Linked DNA regions of Mus musculus: regions 2, 3, 4, 5, 6 and 7 are each reported to be linked to region 1. Evidence: microRNA targets listed by miRTarBase, many of them from high-throughput screens and not tested one by one. Region 1 holds a microRNA gene; each other region holds the end of a gene's coding sequence. Distances are between the middles of the regions.

Region 1 (3,082 bases):
GATGGTTGGGATCAAGGGTGGGTGGGTGTCCATCAGATGTGTCTTTCTGTGATGGGCCTCACTGTTCTTCTGTTTGCTTCTGCCTCCCACTGTTGCTCTACTGCACCCGTGGGAGCATGATGGCTCTGCTCCGTCTCTCTTCTCTGCTCAACCAAAGAGTTTCAGAAAAGAGAAAGGAAGCCTTTTCTGAAGTCTCTAGACTTGATTTCTTGTCCTCAGTGCTTGCCCTGGCTGAGGGCCCCGTACAAGTGAACTCTGGGAAGATGATTTGTCTAGGGTCATGGACAAAGGCCTTAGAAGATGACTTCCAAGCCTATTTCGTTAACGACCTGCATTCATTAGAAAAGGACCTGTGTTTTCAAAAACATGGCTCTTGTGTCTCACATGGTCAGACAGTAGCCAAAAGATTGCCCATAAATATGTCTTCTGATGGCTGTTTGGCTACTAGGACAGAACCATTAAGTTGAAGAGCTTAAAACTATGACCTTAGCGGCTGTGTGTCTGTTTTGTTTATGTCTTAACATTCCCTACCCCATCTCTCTGTTCTAAGCACCTCTGAGCTCTCAGCACAGTCCTGCCTTTGAAGCCTTGTGTGATGGGGAGCCTCAAGGATTGGAGCCTGCACTTCTTCAGCTGCTTCTGCTGTGAGCACAACATTCAGTCCTGAGGAAAAGGTTTGCTAAGTAGGAGAACTTGGGGGTTCTTCCTCCTCAGGTATGGATTGATTTTTCACCTCACAGAGACCCAGTCAGCACCCATGGGGTGGGGCATTTGAGTTGGGAGGTGGGTCTTGCTGGAGCAGAGGCCCAGCAAGGTGGATCCTTCTTGGAGCGTGGGAATCTACAGGGCTGCTTAGAAATGGTTTGATTGGTTCATAATGGCACCTTGATAGAACAAGAGGGTTTACTGTACAGGATACTTGCCACACCATGGCCCTCTTTGTGCTACTACATGCAAGTGAGTGAGTCCATTGGATGGAGTGGTCATAGACAGATCTGGCCATGAGATGAGTGTCTCTGGACCCCCACTAACTAGCTCCTGCCCAATTGACTGCTTCCTGAGCACCACAGCTATTTGAGGTAGGCTGGGACGTTCCTGCCGTGCTTGAAAGAGACACCAAGAGGCATAAGAGGCCCAGGCCTTTGGCAGAGGAGGGCTGTTCTTCCCTTGAGTTTTATGACTGGGAGGAACTAGCCTTCTCTCAGCTTAGGAGTGGGCCAACAGCTTCCTTCCGATCTCCAGGAGAATGTTGCTGGTTGACACACGGAACTCATCCTCTAAGTTCCCCCACCCATCAAGGTAGCTGGTGGAGTCAGAGATAGATGTTTCTAAAAGCCATGGAGAACTTTGAGGTCTTGTCATAATGCCCTGAGCCTACTACTAAGACTGCCACCTTCCCATTGTCGATGCAGTGGCTTCTGAGCGCACGTAGCTGGGAAGCGGGTGAGCGGGCCAAGATCCAGGTTAGTGGGCATTCGAGACTACAGAAAGAGACCCTCCTAGGGTCTTGGGGTTGGGGAGACAGAGGCAGGGCCCCTAAGAGGGGATCTCCATCTGTGTGCACACAGAACAGCCTATGTGGAAGGTGACAAGAGGGCCTTTCTGGAGGGCCCCCCCTCAATCCTGTTGTGCTCGCTTCAGAGGGTTGGGTGGAGGCTCTCCTGAAGGTGTCCGCAGAGCGTCGCATGGTAAGTAGTCCCTTGGGGCTCTAGAGAATGCTTGCTGTCTTTGGCTTGATCCCAGTGGCAGCCTCTGCTAGACTAGTCCTGCCCCCCAGTTAGTGCTCATGGGGTACCAGAGACCTGACCCCACCCTGTCTGCTCTAGGCTAATAGTGCCCTGCTTCCCTGGGCTTGTACCACCTTGTGTAGTATCTCCCTACTCTTCTGTATCCTTGGCTGGGAAACTTGCTTCCTAGCACCAGACCTTCCTTGATGTGGTTGTTTGCTTTCCTTTCACTTATCTTTTCTTTCCTACAGGAGTGGGATGGACATCAGTCAGATCCACACCGGTCTTCATGGCAGCCCCCCTTTTTTATTTATTTATTTATTTATTTTTGAGACAAGATCTCACTGAATTATCCATACTGGCCTTAAAACTTGGAATCCTTATGCCTTAGACTCCAGCATTTCTGGCATAAACTGCTGTGTCCAGTCTAGAAGGCATTTTGGTGAACCACCCCTGTAAGACTGAGCTGGGGGGGGAGGGTGTCAGGCACCCAGTTTTGAGTTACTCACACCCAGCCTCTCCCAAGTGTGACACAGTATCTGCCTAATAAATTCACGAAGAAAGATTGTTTGGTGTTGTTCTCATCTGTGCTCTGCGCTCTACCCAGCTCTGCCTGGTGTGCCCATCACTCATCCCACTTCACCAGCTTGCTTCTAGCACACACCTGGCTTGATCTTGCTTCTTAGTGTCTCTTCCCATTAATTAGATTTAACTCAACTGCAAGAGGGCTGGAGCACCTTTCATTTAGAGTACAGTAAACTCTGAATAGAGGGAGGGCGGGAGGGAGGGAGGGAGGGATGGGGGGTAGGAGGGGGAACAGATGAGTGTGTGGATAGATGCGCGGGTAGGTGGGTGGATGGATGGATAGAGAGACATTGAAGAAGATTCAAACCAATAGTGCAGGTTAAGCACTAAACAGGGAGTGAAGGCTGTGAAGCCCAAATGGGAGGCTGTGTATCAGCCGTCTCGTGAGCAGAAGCTAGAGTAAAACCCTCAGATATGAATTCTATAAACTTCAGTTCTCTTCCTTTGGGAAGCCCCAACAAGCTACTCACTCACCAGCCATAGGCCGCTGTCCTCAGGCCTGCTGTTTCTGCTTTTCCAACACTCCTCTGCACTGAGCCTCCTTCTTAGTGTTACCTGCCACTCATCTTCCCACCCTCTTCCTTGTCTGTAGCCATTGTCTTGACAAAGAGGTAAGACTCTCCTGGCTGTGTTACTAGTGGGAGAGAATGGTTGGCATCAAGAACTGCAAAAATCACCACATGTGTCAGGAGAGACTCTGGGAGAAAACATAATTGGATAAGGGGCAGCTGCTCTCTGAGCAAGGATCCCCTGGGGTCCTTAGCTCTAGT
Region 2 (3,082 bases), 120 Mb from region 1:
AGCAAGACTCATACACAGTTCTGTTTAAAAGCATGTTACATTTCTATACATTAAAATTATATAGACTACTTTTAGAGAGCAGCCTTCATCTAATGAATCAGTAAGTTCCTGATTGTGGTTATCTTTTACAGAGACTCACTTTGAGACATGCTAACAGTAACCAATGTCTTGATGAACCTTCTGAAGAAGACAAAATGGTGCCTACCATGCAGGACTGCAGTGGCAGCAGATCCCAACAATGGCTGCTGAGGAACATGACCTTGGGGACATGAAGATATTTTTTTTCCCAAGATGTGAAAGTCTCTACATGTTTGTTTGTCCATTATTTTAGTTTGGTGAAAGTATTAACTTTTCTGAATTAAAAGTTTAAAAAATACTTTTAGTAATATAAAACACAATTGTTTATAATTCATTTTTAGGAATGTTTATTTCCCTACTAAAATTTGTATCTGATTAAAGAAGCACATAAAATATAAATAATAAGAAACTGTTATTAAACATTTGAACTGTTTGGGAAAAACACACCTTGTATTTACTTTTAAAATGTCTTCAATAACCTCTTGTCACAGGGTTATTTGGAATTGGTTTATTTTGTGTTGTAATAATAATTAAAAGAGAGATCATGTAAAGCCTTATACAATATCATAATTATAAAATATTAATGTAGCTTTATAAAACACTCTTTTTTACAAAAGCTTCATGGGACCCTGGTTGAATTTCTATGCCAACAATTAGAATCCATATGAAATCATTCCTGAACATTGAATTCATCAAACAAAATATAAGGTAGTAGGAAAATAATTAAGCTAGTTATTGAATTTGTAAAATAAAAATCATCATACAAAATAAAGAAAAGAATTTTTAAAACCTATTTATAATAATAAATTTAAATCAAATGATGTAAGGAGTACATGAGGTATTGAGGAAAACAAGAGCTATATAAACTACAAGAGTTGCTGTGAAAGAATCTTCATTCTGAACACAAGCTGAAGACGGTCTTGCTCTGAGGTGTGATATCAGGACCTGAATCCCCAGTTTCTCCCTGTCTCCATACAGAGAGTTTTTGTCCATCAGCTGTATCTTTGCCCTTCACTCCAGAGGGTGAGATTTGTCACAGCCTACAGAACTGTAGGTGAAGAGTGACCTTTTAGATTTAATTTCTAAAGTACTATCCCTTTTAGTTCAGTCAGTGCGGTCATTGGCACTTTGCATTCTATAAAAAGAATGGCACTCAAAATCTATTGCTATGCTATAAAATCCAACATTGGTCACTGGAAAAATTGGAGTTATTAAAAATTATATTAATTAAACTACTAGACATGATTTTGCATAAACTATGGCTGTCATAATTAGGACAATTTCGTGTGTCATTTCCACATAAAACCCCTTTGTTCACAGTGCATGGACTAATTATATGAAAAAGGAAAACCTACCAATTCATGGGACAGTAATAATTGTTATATGTTTGCTACCATTTTAGGTGGCCACATAGTTGTTGTACATGTATGTTTTGGTTGTATATCTAGCAGCTGGAGGAACTCTATGGGGGTGAAGCTAGAAGATTCTTCAGGAACAGAAAGTCCATACTTTTGACCTTTTATTTTAAAGGATCTTCTATAAAAAGAGTTAATGAGCTTGCTACACTTGCTTTCTTTCTCTCTCCTCTCTCTCCATTTTTCACTGATTCTCTCCTCTGTCTATTGTCACTGTCTTTCTCTGTTTCTATTACTGTCTCTCTTTTACACAAACACAAACACACACATGCATATGTGTACACACATACACATATACTCACACACACACACACACAAACACACACACACACACCTGAGTTGGGCTATTATATTTTTCATACTGCACAAGTCTACCCATTTCAGTGGTCTTTCTCATCAGAACAAATGCATGTTTCACCTTCTGGACGCTCAAGTCAAAACTATGAAACTGGGATAAGGGCTTGCTCACTCAGTAGGTGTTTGCCCCTCAACCAAGAGGAACTGATGCTGATTCCAAGCTAAATAACCACTAGATGTGGGAGGATGTACTTGTAACTCTAATACTGGGGAGGTAAAAAAAAAGAGAATTTCTTGAATTTCCTCACCAGCCAGGTTGTCCTCATGGACAAGCTCCCAATCAAATGAGAGACTTTGTCCCCAAAATCAAGTGATAATGTCTTTCAAACTTTTCAAGCCTGTTCTAACTGTAGCTTACAGACTTCATGAAACTGCCTGATGTCAAAGTTAACTAGGATCTTGGTCCAACACAAAATTTAAACTTGTTTTAAATTTTCATTTTGGATATTCACACTGTTTTGATACCAAGTGTTTATTTTTGTAGATAACAACATTATTGCAATGTAAAACTTTGGACAAATTGAGTCTAACCATCTTAAAAGTAACTTGATGCTATCTTTGACATATAACAGCAAACCAACAATTTGGGGCCACAACCATTGTGGGTTGCTCCTTCTGACTAAATCATAAGAAATATGCATATATTATAATTCTCTATTCATGCCAAGTCTTACCCAATGCTACACTTGTTTACTTAATACAAGAGTCACATAGATACTATTATGTATGAATTTGTGTATTTTCCTGAACATAATCTTCCCATTAATCCTCAAATCATTTCATAGCCATTGTGTCTCTATACCCAGAACAAAACACTCAACAAACATATACACATACCTTGGACAGATGGAGAGGGAGAGAGAGAGAGAGAGAGAGAAAGAGAGAGAGAGAGAGAGAGAGAGAGAGAGAGAGAGAGAGAGAGAGACCTCTGCCTTTTTTTTATCTCTTACTGTCTTGCATTTCATTACATTGTTCTGGCTGCCAAACAAGTCTGTTTTACTGTTGGTTCTATCAGTCCCAAGATATCATTCACTTATTTCTTTAGGTCTCTATACAAACATGACCTCTTCAGTACAACAAATGCTTGTCCTGCCTGTAGTCTCTCATTCCTATCTCTCTGAGCAAATCTAAGATTATTCTTTTGCTTATTTCAATTTCTTCCAGTCTCATACACCAACACACACTTGGCCATATAATCACATTTATTTATGTTTTTTTTTTTTTTTTTTCTG
Region 3 (3,082 bases), 170 Mb from region 1:
AATCCTTGGGCTTGGTAGCAAGTGCCTTCGCCCACTGAGCCAGCCATCTTGCCAGCCAGCAAATGGTTGTTATACTGTGTTGTTAAGTGGTTTATGACAAAAAGATAAAGAAAAAAGAAAAACCTCTGTCTATGCTTAACACAGATTTGGCATTTTCATCCCTGAATATTGTTGGTCTATGGTTGGTAGCCTTTAAGCACTGAGAACCCAGGGTGCAGGCTGACTGGTGATATCACATTCTCATTGGGTATGTCTTGGTCCCCATGGGAAAGGGAGTTGTCTCACACTGAAGGGGAATGGAGTTTTATGAGATTTTGGGTTTGTCATTCAACTGTGTGTTCTTTTTTGGCATTTAGGGAAGAAGCTGGACTTGGCGTCGGTGGACCTGTGGAAGATGAGAGTGGCAGAGCTAAAGCAGATCCTTCAGAGATGGGGGGAAGAGTGCAGGGCATGTGCGGAGAAAAGTGACTACGTGAACCTCATTAGAGAGCTGGCCCCCAAATATGTAGAGATATACCCCCAAACGGAGCTCTGACCCCGTCGGCTGTCAGGAAGCATGGACTGCAGTTAGAAGAAAATGACTGTCTAAGATGAGAGTGTGCTGGTTAGGGCTAACCAGGGACTGCCCAGTTGGCCGTCAGTTTTGCTGTTGTATTGTGGAGTTGTGTTGTTTAGGCATATGATCAACCCGTGCTTCCTCATGGTCGCTAAAATTGCAGAGCACAGAGACCTCAAGGTGCTTTTCTCATCCTTCTTGGAGGATGCAGTGGTTGCCTTTGCATTGCTATGACAATAATGCTTATTGAGAGAGGCTGGCCATGGCCACATGGAGAGAGGGGGAAGGGAGTGAGAGAAAGAGGGCTAGAGATGAGAGTAAGAAAGGTGAGGGCTTAAAGAGAGAGAGGAAGGGCCAAGCAGCCCCCTTTATAGTGGGCTGGGCTACCTTGCTGTTGCCAGGTAACTGAAACAAGTGTGGGGAGGGAAGAGTCACTTGGGCTCAGGGATTTGGTCCATCACAGCAGGGTAGCTAAGGGCAGCACAGCTCAGAGCAGGGCGACAAGAGCTTGTCATAGAGGCTGTTGTGATTATAGAGAGGCAGAAAGTGATGTCCAAATAATGATAAGGCTGTAACCTTCAAAGGGATAGCCCTATTCATCCACTTCTGTCAGTCAGACACCCACCTCACAGTTTCCCCAAATTACCACTAGCTAGGGAACAAACCTTCAAATCAAACCGATGCCAGGTGTGGTGGTGAATGCCTTTAATGCCAGCACTCTGTCTGGAGGCAGATCTCTGTGAGTCTGAGGCCAGCCTGGTCTACAAAGTGAGTCTAGGACAGCCAGGGTCACACAGAGAAACACTGTTTTGAAAAACAAACAAACAAACAAACAAACAGACAAACACTAAAATAAAATCCAACCAATGAACCAACCAAACAACCAAACAACCCAAACCAAACAAAAAACTGAGCTGGAGGAGGACAGTTCAGATCCAAGGCACAGCAGAAGGACAATGTAGTTTATCACTACTGACTCAAGTGTGCTATGGATATGATGGGATAATACATTTTAAGGAAGGAAAGAGACAAGAGGCATCTCTTTGGTCAAGGTTTTTAAAAAGAGTGCATAACAGAAACTATAGCTTATCTAATGTGCGACTTCAATCTCAATAACCACCTAACATAGTTCAGAAGGTTCTTGTTTCATTTTGCTTTTTAAAAATAGATTTTTTAAAAAACTTCATTCACTCTAAATATTTTCTCTCTTTTGCACAGCAAGGAGGGAAGCATTCATTACTTTATAGGCTCTTGAGACAAAATACCTAAAAAAACAATCGAGAAAGGAGTTAATTTAGTTCATGGTTTGAGATTACAGTTCATCACGGCAGCAGGAGTGTGAGGCCATTGGTCAAACTCATCCATGTCCTAGAAGCAGAGATGGAAGTAGATGCTCTGCTAGCTGTCAGTCTGACCCCAGCACGGGAATGCCACTGCTCACATTCAGGATGGGGTCTTCCTTCCACAGTTAAACTCTCTCTAGCAACGCCCTCCCACTCGTGCCCAGAGGTATGTGTCACCTAGGCAATTCTAAATTCCACCAAGTTAACAATGGCGATTAAGCATTGCACAGCACGAATGGAAGTTTCCGTTTCTCATATAAAGAAAACTGATCGGAAGAATACAAATCAGCAATCCATAAAAAGTCTGTGCTTGGCCTATTTATAACTACCTTTTTTTGTTGTTGTTTTTTGTTTTTTGTTTTTTTGTTTTTTTGTTTTCTTGAAGCAGGATTTCTCTGTATAGTTCTGGCTGTCCTGGAACTCACTCTGTAGACCAGGCTGGCCTCAAACTCAGAAATCCGCCTGCCTCTGCTGGGATTAAAGGCGTGCGCCACCACGCCCGGCTTGTAACCACCTTGAATTGCCACGTGACCCAAGCTCAGAGTCTTCTTCACTGCCCCGTGTCAGGCAGGATGAAAGCATGCTCCCCACGTGCAGGCAGCAGGGGCGCTTGTGGTTTCTAATGCTAGCCTATCAGTCTTAAGAAGCAGGCAATGTTTCAGCTCCATTCTCTGTCCATAGATCAATAAGAAGCACATGGTTAAATGGTTGCCTTTGGGAAATAGGTCAGGGTGTGGCTACTCAAGAAAGCATTCTCTTTAAAGTTTCTGGGGTGATGGGACTGTACTTTATCAAGGCAGGAGGTGAGAGATATGATCATCATATTGATATAGAGGTACAATTAAGATGTGGGTATTCTATTGTACATCAATTCTATTTCATAAAAAGTTGTAGGAGCTATTTGAAAATTACCCAAAATTAATTGATTAAAAGCAACTGTTCTTTTAAATAATCAAATGTACTCATAGCCATCTTTTTTGTAGAGTAGAGAATAACTTAAATTCAGATAATAAATATACATTGACAGAATAAGGTTTATTTTTAAATGGTGCAAGGGAATGCATTTTCAGCTAAGCAATTGGGGTAAACGTGAGTTTGTTAGAGAAGTAGTGGTTCCCAAGGAGATATGGAGGTTGCGCAAACGCAAAATGAAACTAAAAATACTAATAGAACAGACGGTCCA
Region 4 (3,082 bases), not on the chromosome of region 1:
TAGAGAGCATAGTGTAACCCTAGTGTAGATGTCAGAACAACATCCTGGGGCTGGAGAGACGGCTCAGCCGTAAGAGCACACGCTGTACTTGCAGAAGACCCAAGTTTGATTCCCAGCATCCACATAGGGAAGCTCACAACCCCCAACAGCTCCAGGGGCTCCTACATCTTTTACTAAGGTATTTATGTGTACAAAAGCATACGATTAAATAAATAAAAGCTGTGTGGTGGTATACACCTTTAATCCCAGCACTCAGGAGGCAGAGGCAGGTGGATCTGAGTTCAAGGCCAGGCTGGTCTACAAAGCTAGTTCTACAACAGCAACGCTTATGAAAACAAAACAAAACAAAAAACAAAAAGCTCTGTCTGGAACTGGACACCCCCCAGCCCCAAATATTTATTTCTTAGGCTTTATAGTTGTAGCCTGTCTGTGCTTCCAGAGTACTGGGAATAAAGGCACAGACCACTATGCCCAGCTGTAAATTAAGTGAAAACAAAAAAACAAAAACCAACTTTAACCCAAGGGTGAAGCCTGGACCTATTTTATCATTTCTGAGTGGTCTCTGAAACAGATCTGAGCCCAAGCCCCAGGCTGCTCTGAAGACACCTTGAGTGGAAACAAGTGGGAGATGAATTCTTTGCAGCATCGGAGTCACCTCCAGGGTTGGAAGCATCGTCAGTTTATCTTCTGCACACCAGGTTCTAACACTCAGGACTGTCCTTACAAGGCAACACATCCATGCCACACCGGTGGACTGTGGTTCTGGGCACAGGAACAATGCACTGGGAGCAGGACAATCGCTTCAGGTGCTTTTATTAGGTTCCACTGCAGGGCTGGGGTCAGAAAAATACTCATCCACACCCAGCCAGTGCATACCTGTGAGCCCAAGCAGAGCAGAAGCGGGAGCACCCATGCCCCAGGAGCAGGCTGATCAGAGCAAGGCCAGGGCTAGACCCATCTCTGAGCCTGAAGAGGACCATGGCAGCCACTGGGTTCACTTGGGTGGGTGTGCTCACAAGCACCTCTTTTTGGGCTGTAGTGCCTGATGACAGTAGGGATTAGAGGTGGGACCAGGGCCACCTCCATGTAGAAGGAGGTAGCTGAGCTGCCCGGGTCTGAACCTTCTGTAGGGCTCACCCCAAGGTGGTAGCTTTAGCTTGACTCTCTTTGGACAATAAAATAAAGTGCATTACTGAACAAAGAGTAACTCAAAACCATAAGCAGAGAAACCACAAAAATTTCTTTAGCTATAAGTCAGAGAAAACAAGAATTATGTGGATGCCAGAACATGAGAACGTAATTAACTTTGTAGACAAAGATGAATGGGGGACAAGCAGTGGCAAACAGGTCTCCAGCGTCTGTGCTGCCCAGCACCTGCCCAGCATGTAATGGTGCTAGTGTGATTGGCATCAGAAACATAGCTAAGTCACAGACAGAAATGCCAGACTCAGGGACCAGAAAAAACAAAAAACAAAAAACCGAAAGGTGAAGCCCTAGCCAGAGACACTACCAGCCCTCAGCACTCTCTCTCTCTCTCTCTACTGCTGGCAGGTAGCTGGAGAGATCACTTGCCTTGCTCTCTACCACTGCTAACCCCTCAGGATGACCCTGTCAATACCAAACCAAGCCCAATGGCTCCACAGTCCCAGGGCTTTAGCTTCAGATCTCATGCCAGGTGAGACCCAACGGTGCTGGCCAGCCCTGCCACACGATAGATAACCTAGCAATAAGTGTTCTGTCCACAGGGCCAGAGATGCAGAAGGGAACATTGGTGCATTCTACTAAGGTGACAAACATGGCTCCCAGCAGTCCACAGCTGGCATGGACTTTCCCAGGGTGAAGGACAGCTGACTCAGCTCTCATTAAGGCAACGAGGCATCACGACATCCATCTCTTACCTGGGTAAGGGCTGTCACAACACAGCCACATAGGACCCTTAGGGACTGTTTCTATTTGCCTCACAGTGGTCAAATGGGCACCTTTTCTAGGCTTTCTCAACTGCCACACACTGTGCAAGAAGACCACAGTGTGGGGACTCGCTGGGTAAAGGTACAGTGCTAGGAGAGGGGACCAGAACTCCAGGGCTGTCCAGACTTGAAGGGGCTGACTGCCAGGCAAGAGCCACCACTGCTCTGATGAACCACCCATGCTACCAACTGCCACTGTCTGCAGCGTGGCAGGAAAGTCTCAGGCACTGAGGTTTGCTTCTGAGGAGAAATGATGGTGGCCTCCTGCCCAATAAACCACCCAAGAGGGGCTGCACTGAAGGAGGAAGGAGCAGAGGTAAATCTCTCACTCCCATCTGTGCAGTTTTATCTTTAAAAAACAATAAATAAAAGTTTCCTGGGTGGGAATTATTGATAACTGCTGATTTCAGGCAAGTAAAGGTCAGGGACCTACTATACTGCATGTCAGACAAAGGCTGCCACACCCTAGCCACACATGCTCCCAAAGGAGGGACACAGCCCCACAGCAAGGGAACAGAGACAGCCAGGAACATTCATCCGAACACTGGGGGAGAAGGTGGGAAGGCAGAAAACAAAGATCATAGAGGAAGGAGAGATAGCTGGGTGACAGCAGCACCCTCTCTGTACACCCCAATTTCAGGTGATTGGCTGGACGTGTTCAGTCCCTCCAACACGTGAGGCGTGTGGGGAGCTCTTGGGCAGGTCTGCTCTGCCTTCCCAGGTGGGAGGCTCTGTTCAACCCCAGCACAGCAGCCGAGGTTCTTTCTCTTCAAGATCTGCACGGAGACGCTTCAGGGTATCTGGAATACCAGGGCAGCTGGCCCCACTGTTTCAGGGCTGTGGGCTTCAGGCCTTATAGGGAACATGTGGCGCTCCAGACTTCAGAGGGCTGGGCTGGCCCAGTCCCATGCAGCAGAGGCCCAGAGCCCTAGGTCCGGGGGAGGCTGCACATCTCGCAGTGGCCTGTGCCAGGTTGGTTCATGAAGGTGCAGTGCTGACAGGCCCACATGGCAGAGGTAGCAGCGCGTGCAGAGCCCCCGACTGCACCAAACTCGTGGAGGCCTGGGAGCTGCACACCAACGGTGCCTGTAGGGTAAAGTGAGAACACGTCATGC
Region 5 (3,082 bases), not on the chromosome of region 1:
GCTGCTGGAGCCAGAGCCCACCTCGGTACTGCAAGTGTCGCTCCAAGGACACACCATCCTCCTGGTCCCCGAGGGGCTCCAAGACTCCACCCATTTTGGACAGCCTGGATTCGTGGCCATCAGCCCGCAGGGAGCCGCTGCCCAGGACGGGCCCCAGGATCATCTAGTCGGTCTCCAGGAGGAAACTTTCTGTGAGTACTTCTACCAAGAGGATGTCTGTGATGAGGATGCAGACTTGGAATTTCTGGAGCACTGGGCTAGCCCTCCAGATGATCAGGCCAATGGGAACTTTTCCTCCATCCCAGGGGTGCCCAGTCCTTTGTCTCAGGACCAAGTCCCAGGGCCTTCCACTGGAGCAGAGCAATATTCTCCTAGGTTCATCTGGGAACTGGACATCAACATGCTGGGACCCTTCCCTGGCTCACCACTGCAGCCTCTGCCTCCATCTCCTTCCCGGAATCCCCAAGAGCAGCTTCCGCCATGCCCTCCATGCTCTCCCCGGGCTCCTCGCAGGGCCCGGAAGCGACTGGTCTATGAATGAACTGCCCTGCACAAATCTTTGAGGGGCTTCTCTACCCCTAGTTGCAAGGCACTTAGGCCCCATGATGTTAGAATTAAAGCCTTGCTGACCCAAAGGACTCTTCCCGAGGCCCTAAAAGTTCCTAGAAATTCAAGTGGTAAAATCCCCAACACCTGTTTCTTCTCTAACAAAGAAATTAGTAGGTGTCTTAAGTTCTTGGTGGCCTTTAGTGTTTTCCCGTGAATTTTTGAGGATTTGGACACGACTTATCTACCTCTCTGTTGTTCCGGGCTACTCTCCTAGAAAACTACCCAACACCATCATGTGCTATAATGGTTACCTCACTTGCATGTACAGGGTTCAAAGCCATCTCCAAAGCTCCTTGGAATAGTCTCCCATTTCAGTTCCTTCATTGTAAGTGTGATTCATGGTGAAGTTTGCCGGCTGTTTTCAGCATGCGCTGGGATATGCATTTGTTTTCTTTGTTTTTTAATCTTTGTTTAGTTTGTGATTAGTCAGGATCTCATTAGAAATCTGTGGCTTTCTTAGAACTATGTAATAGAGGCTGGTCTTGAACTCGCAGAGATCTACCTGCCTCTGCCTCCCAAGTGCTGGGATCGAAGTCTTGCGCCACTCTGCCAGGCTTGGGTTTCTTTTTATAGTACATTCGCTTCAAGATTTCACCTAAACTGGTGGAAAATGTTTACATTACTATTATTCCACGTTATTGTTTTGTTTTAAATTCTGAACCAATTTTTGCTCTTATAAACCTAATTTGTAATGTTTTGTATGCAATGGTCATATTTATCTTGTTTTATAAAAATAAAATAAATGTCCCTGGTAAAGGTGAGTCAAAAATCATAGCTGTTCAGCTTTTAGCTGTTCAGTTTTGTCAACCTATTTTACCAAATTCCCTCTTTGTTCTCAGGCTAACCTCAATTTTTATCTTGCTACTACTAATCTGCTTTTAATTTCTTTTTGCATTAATACAGATTTAACCTAGGATCTCACACATACTGGGCAAGCGCTCAAATACATGTACATCCCTAGCTCTCTCCTTACTTACTCTTTATTTTGAGACAGGGTCTCACTAAGCTGCTTGGGTTAGCTTTAAACTCATTCTGTAGCCCAGACCCACCTTGAAAATGAAGTCCTCCACAGGAGCCACCCTAGAAGCTAAGGTTATTGGCCAGAGTGTAGCTCTTACATACAACTTTTTTTTATTGTTTAATTTATCATTGATGTGTATTTGACTGAGTGTGTGTGATTTGTGTGTGAGCCCAGGACCATGCGTGTCATCGAGTGTCTGCCACAACACACCTGTGAAAAATCACAGGACAACTTGGGAGTCAGTTCTCTCCCTCTACCGTGGACTCAGGAGATCAGTTATCAGGCTTCCAATTGTCAGGCTTGTAGAGTGAGTACTTCTGCCTGATGATCCCATCCCACCAGCCCCAGAGATAGGCTTTAACAGTTATATGTATGTGTGTGTGTGTGTGTGTGTGTGTGTGTGTGTGTGTGTGTGTATATATATATATGTATATGTATATGTATATTTATTTATTTAACAATTATCTCCATTATGTCTGTCCTGCCTTGGTTCTATAGTCCAAAAACTCTTAGGATTTTATGCTTGAAAATGTTTCATTCCGTACTCATTTTATTTAAACGTGAAATAGGAATGGCCAAGTGGAAATAAATAGACAATAAACCACTGTATAATTCTTAAATGTACAGTGGACTCCAACACAATGCTACATTCCAGATACTGGTGGAAGAATTTGGAAAAAAAAAAAAATACTGGCTGGGCATCCAGAAACTTAAATGAAAGCAGACTGAATGGAGGGTCATCAGTATTCACACCAAAAATAAATAAATAAAAACTAGTTTTTAATGCCAGTCTTCTTAATTCCACCTGTGGCCAGGGCCTTTCCCTGCAGGCTTCCCTTTCAGCTTCTAGCACTTTCTTCTCCCTTTTCATTTGTTTCTGTCTGAAACTTCATCCATCTTGTTAGCATGTCCCTTGGACTGACTTGAGGTTTCTAGCCACCATTGTGGAGGGTGAGGCGTCTCTTCCCCATCTCTCCCCTCAGCCCTTGATCCTAAATGTAGTTTCTCTAGCATAATATTTGACTACTTTAAATTTATTAATCCAGTGTTTCACCATCTTTTTATCTAAATGGTTGTGTAACCAACCAATCAAAATATCACTATTTTATATGTGGGGGTATTGTACATCTTAGTTTTAAGGGTTTGAAGTGTTTTATTCGTGGCCTGCTTTTGTTTTGTGACAAGTTCTGTGTAGTCCAGGCTGGTCCGGAAGTCCCCACCCTCCTGCTTCAGCCTCCCAAGTCCCAGGATTACAGGTGTGTAAAATCTGTAAAAGCCACATCTGCCTTCATTTTACTTCAAATATTTGTTGGGTTTTCGTGTCACATAGTTTGATTATAATGTGTCTATGACGATATTATTTCTATTTGGCTTGGCTGAATGTAGTTGACTGTGGATGTTGAGAATTATCACTTACCTAAAATCTCACACACTGCCTTAGTCAGGGTTTCT
Region 6 (3,082 bases), 6.9 Mb from region 1:
AGTAGGATGCCCTTCATTGCACAGCTCTGCATACTATAGACCCAAGCACAACTACCTCCATTCTGTGTAAAAACAGGAGGCCATAGCAGATCAGCCTAAGCTTGTTTCCTTAGGAATGACCCCAAAGCTGATTTGTTAACTACATCTCTCAAGCCTGAACAAACTTAAGGTTGTGGGATGCTTTTTATAAATTAAAATTACTGTTGAGGAGTTCATTTAGCTTTCACTCCACTTACATTTCTGTCCACTCAACAGTTACAGGCGTGTTACAAGGTATCAGCACTAAAATTGCTCTTGTTAACAAGTCAGGCAAATGTCACCAACACCACAAAAGCAAGACCATCCCCTTCGTCCCTTCCTCTATTCTACCCTTGGGTTTCATTTCTCCTTTTAGCATTTTAAATACTCAGTAGAATGAAACTTGTTTAAACCCTGGTAAGAAAAAAAAAGTCTATCTCAGTAGCTCTCAACCTTTGGGTTGTAACCTCTTTGACAAAAGGGAATTCTATCTCCAAAAATATTCATAATTCATAACAGTAGCAAAATTACAGTTACGGAGTAGCAACAAAAGTAATTTTATGGTTAGATGTCACCACAATATGAGGAACTGCATTAAAGGGTCGCAGAATTAGGAAGGTGAGAACAACTGGTCTAGCTATACTGTGTTCATGTTGGACAGGTCTGGAAACATTCCTGTTTTTTATTTTACATTATTCTAGATCATGTGATCTTTAAGAACATTTGACTTTGTTTCTATATTTCTGAGAGATTTTAGGGATATTTAATGAGCACTCATCTCTAGACCAGTCCAAACAGAACTGTAAGAGATTTTTTTTTTGTTTTTTTTTTTTTATTTTGTTGTTTCCTTGTTTTTGAGACAGGGTCACTCTTTGCATGTTAGAACTCTGTAGACCAGGCTGCTCCCAAACACACAGATATACCTGAATCTGCTTCACAAGTGCTGGGATTAAAGAAGTGTACCAGGGTTGTCCCCTCTATAACTGGGGGAAGGACTCTACAAACAGCCAAATGTACACGGTCCCTATAGCTTTAATTTTAGAACGTTTAGTCCTGATTCAGTTTATGTCCACTTGGATTTTTATACAAATTTTGTTCTTTTTTATTTATTTTTGTTTTTATGAAACAGGGTCTCCCTGTGTAGCTCTGGCTGCCCTGAAATTTGCTACATAGACCAGGCTGGCCTGGAACTCACAGAGATCTGCCTACCTCTGTCTCTCAAGTGCTAGGATTAAAGATGTGCACCACCAAGCCCAGTCCAAATTCTGTTCTTGGTGAAAATGAAAGGTTCAGTTACTGAGAGAGGGGAAATTTTTGATGAATGTCTATGCAAAAGACTTTATTCAAAGGTTTTCATTTGCCCTGTTTCCAAACATTTTCCTGTGCTCTCCCTATCTAGTGACGACGTTACATCCCAGAGAGCTGCTTTACAGGAAGCAGTACAGAAAGTGTCATCTCTAGGATACAGAGAGGATGTTTCTGTAAGGAAGGTTGCGGCATCTTCACCTGTTGTGAGAGGGCAATCTGGACGTGGCTGTAGACATGTCATCAGAGAATTATGCCCACTTCCAGTCAGGTAGCCTCGGGTACGTGCTTTTGGGATACTCCCCCTCAGAACTGGGGTTCTAATCTCCAAGTACATAAGGAGATGAAATGGAGAACAGATAGCCTGTCTAGCCTTTATGGGTCAAGTATGGGTTCAAAAGCACTGAAGACACATGAGGGAGAGCAGCCTTGGACCAGAGCCATCTTGGAAAACTCGGGTCCAAATGGGAATCAGAGGATGGCACAGGATATAAGGGTATCCTGCCTCAGGAACCCAGGGCAAAAGCATCTCTGAAGGGAAAGGACACGGAGCTCTGAAAGTAAACACCAGACTCACAAGCTCAGACCGAGTTTGACTTTAGAAACAAGTGCAGAGCCTCGGGCAGAGATGCAGAAGAGCTGCCTCTGCCCACATGGTTAAGAATCCTGGCTCTGCCAGGCAACAACAGTAGCACATGCCTTTAATCCCAGCACTTGGGAAGCAGAGGCAGGTGGATCTCTGTGAATTTAATGCCATCCCGGTCTACAGAATGACTTCCTGGACAGCCAGAGCTACATAGAGAAAACCTGTCTTGGAAAAAGCAAACAAGAAAATCTCCTGGCTCTTACTGACTCCATCGTCTTCCCTCTGCTTCTGCGGACCCCAGGTGATTGGGTATCTCAAGCACTCACTCCCCACTGGGCACCGGAAACCACAAAGCAGAAATTTCATATCCATTTATCTCTGTCTTCAACTTTCTAGGTGAGGATCCTCCAACAAAACCAAGGTTATAAAGAGAAAATCATGTAAACTTGTTCTGGGTTGTATGTGGCATAAGATCCTGCAGAATTAAGGTGCTAAAGGGTAGGGTATGTGTTTGTGGACAGTCAAGCTCCAAAAGTGGTATGAAAAGAACTCCACAAGGCCTGTTGCCTAGACTCTTCTTGGCTTCTCTGTCACATGAAGTCTTCACAGGAGAAGGGAGGAAGAAGCCAGAGAGTGACTTTCTGGATTTTGTGTATTGCCTCCTGGAGGAGGGAAAGGAAGCCGGGTTGCGCACGCCTTTGATCCCAGCACTTGGGAGGCAGAGGCAGGCAGATTTCTGAGTTTGAGGCCAGCCTCCTCTACAAAGTGAGTTCCAGGAGAGCCAGGGCTATACAGAGAAACCCTGTCTCGAAACCCCCCCCCCCCAAAAAAGGGAAAGGAGCCTCTTTACTCTTTCCTTGACAAAACGCAGTATTTGAGGTATGTTTGGTATGTTTCCTATCCCTTCATCTCAGTAAACTGAAGGATGGTTCATGCCTTCAATAGAAGTCCAGGATAATCACGAGGCCCTCTTCTGTGGGTCCTGGCCACGTCCAAGGAGCTCAGACCAGGTTCTCATACCTGGTGATACCTGTGAGTTTCTCACACAGGTCTTTGAAGCAAGGTCTCTGCTTGGGGTCTCTGCTCCAGCAGCTGAGCATCAGCTTGTGTATGTTGGGTGGGCACTCCAGAGGGCAGGGCATGCGGTAGCCGGCATCCACCCTCAGGAAGGTT
Region 7 (3,082 bases), not on the chromosome of region 1:
AAAGTACTATTTTGCTTAATTCACTAAACTGTCATATTTCTGTATGACCATATGACGGCAGAGAACACTTTGCAGTGATAGGTCCTTGTCTCTGTAGTGTTTTACAGATGCTGAAGTGTTTTAACAGGTATAATTCCTCAGTGTTCTGAAGCCACAGTATGATAAAGCATCAAGTTTCCTGCTATTCCAAAATACTCAGGGCTTCTAAAGTTTCCATAAACCTGGGATCATAGATCTCTGTTGCATGGAACACCACTGTAATCCCACAGCACTAAGTACTTTTAAAGCTGACACCTACTTACTGTAAGCTCAGCTTCTCTTACCCAGCTGTCATGTATGCAGGATACCAGACAGCACTAGATGCCATTTTTGAAGCATCCAGCACATCATACAGTGTCCTCACTAGTGGTTCCTGGTGAAAACACATATTTTCTTCTCCCCTCTCTTTGGGTTATTTTAGAGCGATACACACAAGCAAAGGAGATCTACCAGGAAGCGCTGAAGCGAGCAGAGCTGAAAAGAGATGAGGTTTCTGTTCAGCACATCAGGGAAGAATTGGCTGAACTGTCAAGAAAAAGTAGACGTTTGACTTAATTTTGTTAAGCTATAGAAGTTCATTTTGTTGTAGAGAGGGTAACCTCTGATATCCCAAAGGAGTAACTGTTCCTTCGTTGTCTGGACCTCAATCAGTGTGTAAATCATTGTTGAAATTCAACGTTCGTCAACTCGGCTTCGGAGAAGGACAAGTTGCATACACTGCCACTTTTGTTTCTAAATTTATTTTACTTTGAGATGGGTATCTCTATGGGTAGGCTGGCCTGGAAATCACTATATGCTTGAAGTTGGCCTCCAACTTGGAGTACTACTCCTCCCTCGGCTTCGAAAGTGCCTGGCCCTACTTTTGTTTTTAAAGGTGAAACAGCTTTTACCCTGTACTGACTGTATATAAGGTACAGTCCATGCTCATCTGAGAAATTTACAGACTACAGTTGGCCAAGTTCCTCACCATATGGTCATTATACCTTCCATAAGATTTTGATTCATGCTTACTTTTCTGTATCCATTTCTGGCAAACAAGTTACTTGTATCATGACACAGGAGGATTTTAGTTAGCTCTCTTACACACTATTTTATTGATGCATTATGAGATTTAATGACTATGAAGGGGAATGATAATTCTAGTTGGCCATCATTGGCAGCACTTACTACTAAAGTGGAAGTGAGACATTTGGACTGTATATCTGTTTGTATGTATATAACTACTAAAAATGATGGTGGCAGAAGGAATGAAGCCCTCATCAGCACTGTCTGAACACAGGGCTTCCTTTATAACCACAGGCACAGAGTGGAGTAAAGTTATGCTTACAGCACCCATGTGCTCAGGGTAATGTGCAGCCTCTGATCTGGATCCTAGTTAGCTCTACTTTTTTATTTTGCAATCTCTGAAGTCTGAAACCAATTAGATTGTTTGTCTGATGACTTTATCACTGCCTCAGAGTATATAAATATATGATGCATGGATGGATGCTTTTACCTTTGCAGTCTGGCAAATGGCTTTTTGCCTAAGAGAAAACACATTTTTCTGGGTGCCACGAAGGAACCCTGGTGGTAGAGGTAGGCGGTGTGAGTACGATTGCCAGTGGACTTTGGTTCATGTGTTTGTTCTGGGAGAATCTCTATAATAAACTAGAGACTACGCAATTGTATGGATTCTAATAATCTTGGAATCATAGAAAAATAATGGCCAAGTTACTAGACAGACATACTAAGGTCCAAGTCCTCAGAGCTAAGAGCTACCGCAGAGTCTGTGTTGTGTGGGGAGAGCCCCACATTCTGTTTGAGTTCATTTACCATTCACTTCCTAACCACATGTGATCTTCCCGCTAACCATGAATAACCAGGTAAGAGTTCAGTTACCTTTGCTTTGAAAATGTTTTTTACTTTTTCACAATTCCAGAGTTACCCAAGTTAGCTGTTAGGCTTTTTAATGTTCCATGGTGACTGACCTCATGTCCTGTGGCTGGGGACACAGTCTGTGTATGTTCCCAGCAGCATTCGTTTGCACTATTATAAAAAAGGCAGTGAGACAAAGGGACTCATCTCCTTTTACTGATTACAACTTTAAACAATTTACATTTAATTTCATATTAAAGTTTTAAACTAGACCATGTTACTAGGGTTTTCAGGGCTTAAGTGTTTGTAAGACAATCACAGCATATGAAAATTTAAAGTGTAGTATAAAATTTCTCACTAAGTAGACTGGAAAATTGTCAGAATATTACCTCTGCTGGAAGACCTTGATTTAGTTGCATGTGCATGTGTTACAGATATAGTGCTGGCCCGCCTTGATTTGCAGCTGAGGTCGCAGACTCAGTACTTGCTGCTGCCCGCGTCGGTAAGCCGGCCTCCACCTCTCTAGGTAAACTGTGGGGTTCTGTTCTGTTCTGAAGTAAGAAACGATTCTGGACTTCATGTTGTGTTGTCGTGAACACAGATAGCACAAGCAGTCTGCAGGAGGAGCTACAAGAGTAGGTGACCAAGCTCGATTGACTGACACAGTAAGACAGGGCCAATCATCATCATCATCATTTTTTGGGCTAGTTGACAAAGTGACTTACTAATAAGATCTAGACTTATGTGACTATAACTTGGCAGGGGGACACTTTCAGCAGTAAATCTAATCAGAACACTTAGTCTTCATTATGTTTGTGACTATTGTAAAGGTAATGACTTTACAAGTGATAAGAATCCTGTTCTGGCTGGTCCAGAACTCATCTTGTAATCCAGACTAGCCTTGTACTCTTAGTGATCCGCCTGCCTCTGCCTCCTGAGTGCTGGGATTAAAGGTGTGTGCTATGATGCATAGCTAAAGTTTAAGATCTCAAATGTCTGTCTTTCTTACTTGCTGAGTTATATGGACAAATGCCTAGCCTGCACCTTCATCTATAAAAAAGTGATCAGAAACCTGTGGTGTAGATAGATGCTAAGAGGTGCTTGGGCAGTGGTTCTAGAGACTCAGACCTCCTGAAGCCCTCCCTCTCCCTTCTAGTTCTTAGTGGCATTACCCCCCCCCCCCACACAC

The links. The annotated mature microRNA mmu-miR-298-5p reads GGCAGAGGAGGGCUGUUCUUCCC and lies in region 1 at 1,145-1,167, shown strand. An mRNA with a match to its seed (bases 2 to 7 or 8) in the 3' UTR can be bound and repressed. Matches are read on the target gene's strand: a 7mer-m8 pairs with bases 2 to 8, a 7mer-A1 pairs with bases 2 to 7 and ends in A, and an 8mer does both.
Region 2: the mRNA of Galnt13 is a reported target of mmu-miR-298-5p. Seed matches in the 3' UTR shown: 7mer-m8 at 2,776-2,782.
Region 3: miRTarBase lists Cdnf as a target of mmu-miR-298-5p. Seed matches in the 3' UTR shown: 7mer-m8 at 2,365-2,371.
Region 4: miRTarBase lists Nploc4 as a target of mmu-miR-298-5p. Seed matches in the 3' UTR shown: 7mer-m8 at 2,880-2,886, 7mer-m8 at 2,278-2,284 and 7mer-m8 at 260-266.
Region 5: the mRNA of Prr23a3 is a reported target of mmu-miR-298-5p. Seed matches in the 3' UTR shown: 7mer-m8 at 1,115-1,121.
Region 6: the mRNA of Ptk6 is a reported target of mmu-miR-298-5p. Seed matches in the 3' UTR shown: 7mer-m8 at 2,628-2,634.
Region 7: miRTarBase lists Ttc19 as a target of mmu-miR-298-5p. Seed matches in the 3' UTR shown: 7mer-m8 at 2,282-2,288 and 7mer-m8 at 2,818-2,824.

The regions. Positions count from the first base shown.
Region 1 is chr2:174,265,638-174,268,719 of GRCm38, reverse strand. Mir298 (microRNA 298) reads left to right here and starts at 1,135; the gene lies at 1,135-1,216. It overlaps Mir296 (microRNA 296), which reads left to right and starts at 1,595; the gene lies at 1,595-1,673.
Region 2 is chr2:55,112,690-55,115,771 of GRCm38, forward strand. Galnt13 (polypeptide N-acetylgalactosaminyltransferase 13) reads left to right here. Exons shown (of 13, transcript NM_173030.2): 13 at 132-3,082. The coding sequence ends at 272. Among named protein-coding and RNA genes, the nearest start is that of Kcnj3, 320 kb to the right of the region's middle.
Region 3 is chr2:3,523,455-3,526,536 of GRCm38, forward strand. Cdnf (cerebral dopamine neurotrophic factor) reads left to right here. Exons shown (of 4, transcript NM_177647.4): 4 at 357-2,922. The coding sequence ends at 535. Among named protein-coding and RNA genes, the nearest start is that of Cdnf, 12 kb to the left of the region's middle.
Region 4 is chr11:120,379,574-120,382,655 of GRCm38, forward strand. It overlaps Nploc4 (NPL4 homolog, ubiquitin recognition factor), which reads right to left. Exons shown (of 17, transcript NM_001195023.1): 17 at 225-3,053. The coding sequence ends at 2,896. Among named protein-coding and RNA genes, the nearest start is that of Faap100, 2.4 kb to the left of the region's middle.
Region 5 is chr9:98,865,219-98,868,300 of GRCm38, forward strand. Prr23a3 (proline rich 23A, member 3) reads left to right here. Exons shown (of 1, transcript NM_028033.1): 1 at 1-1,362. The coding sequence ends at 541. Among named protein-coding and RNA genes, the nearest start is that of Prr23a3, 2.0 kb to the left of the region's middle.
Region 6 is chr2:181,192,859-181,195,940 of GRCm38, forward strand. Ptk6 (PTK6 protein tyrosine kinase 6) reads right to left here. Exons shown (of 8, transcript NM_009184.2): 8 at 2,266-3,082. The coding sequence ends at 2,911. Among named protein-coding and RNA genes, the nearest start is that of Ppdpf, 7.2 kb to the left of the region's middle.
Region 7 is chr11:62,313,550-62,316,631 of GRCm38, forward strand. Ttc19 (tetratricopeptide repeat domain 19) reads left to right here. Exons shown (of 10, transcript NM_028360.2): 10 at 461-2,875. The coding sequence ends at 594. It overlaps Ncor1 (nuclear receptor co-repressor 1), which reads right to left. Exons shown (of 45, transcript NM_001252313.1): 45 at 2,877-3,082. Among named protein-coding and RNA genes, the nearest start is that of Ttc19, 34 kb to the left of the region's middle.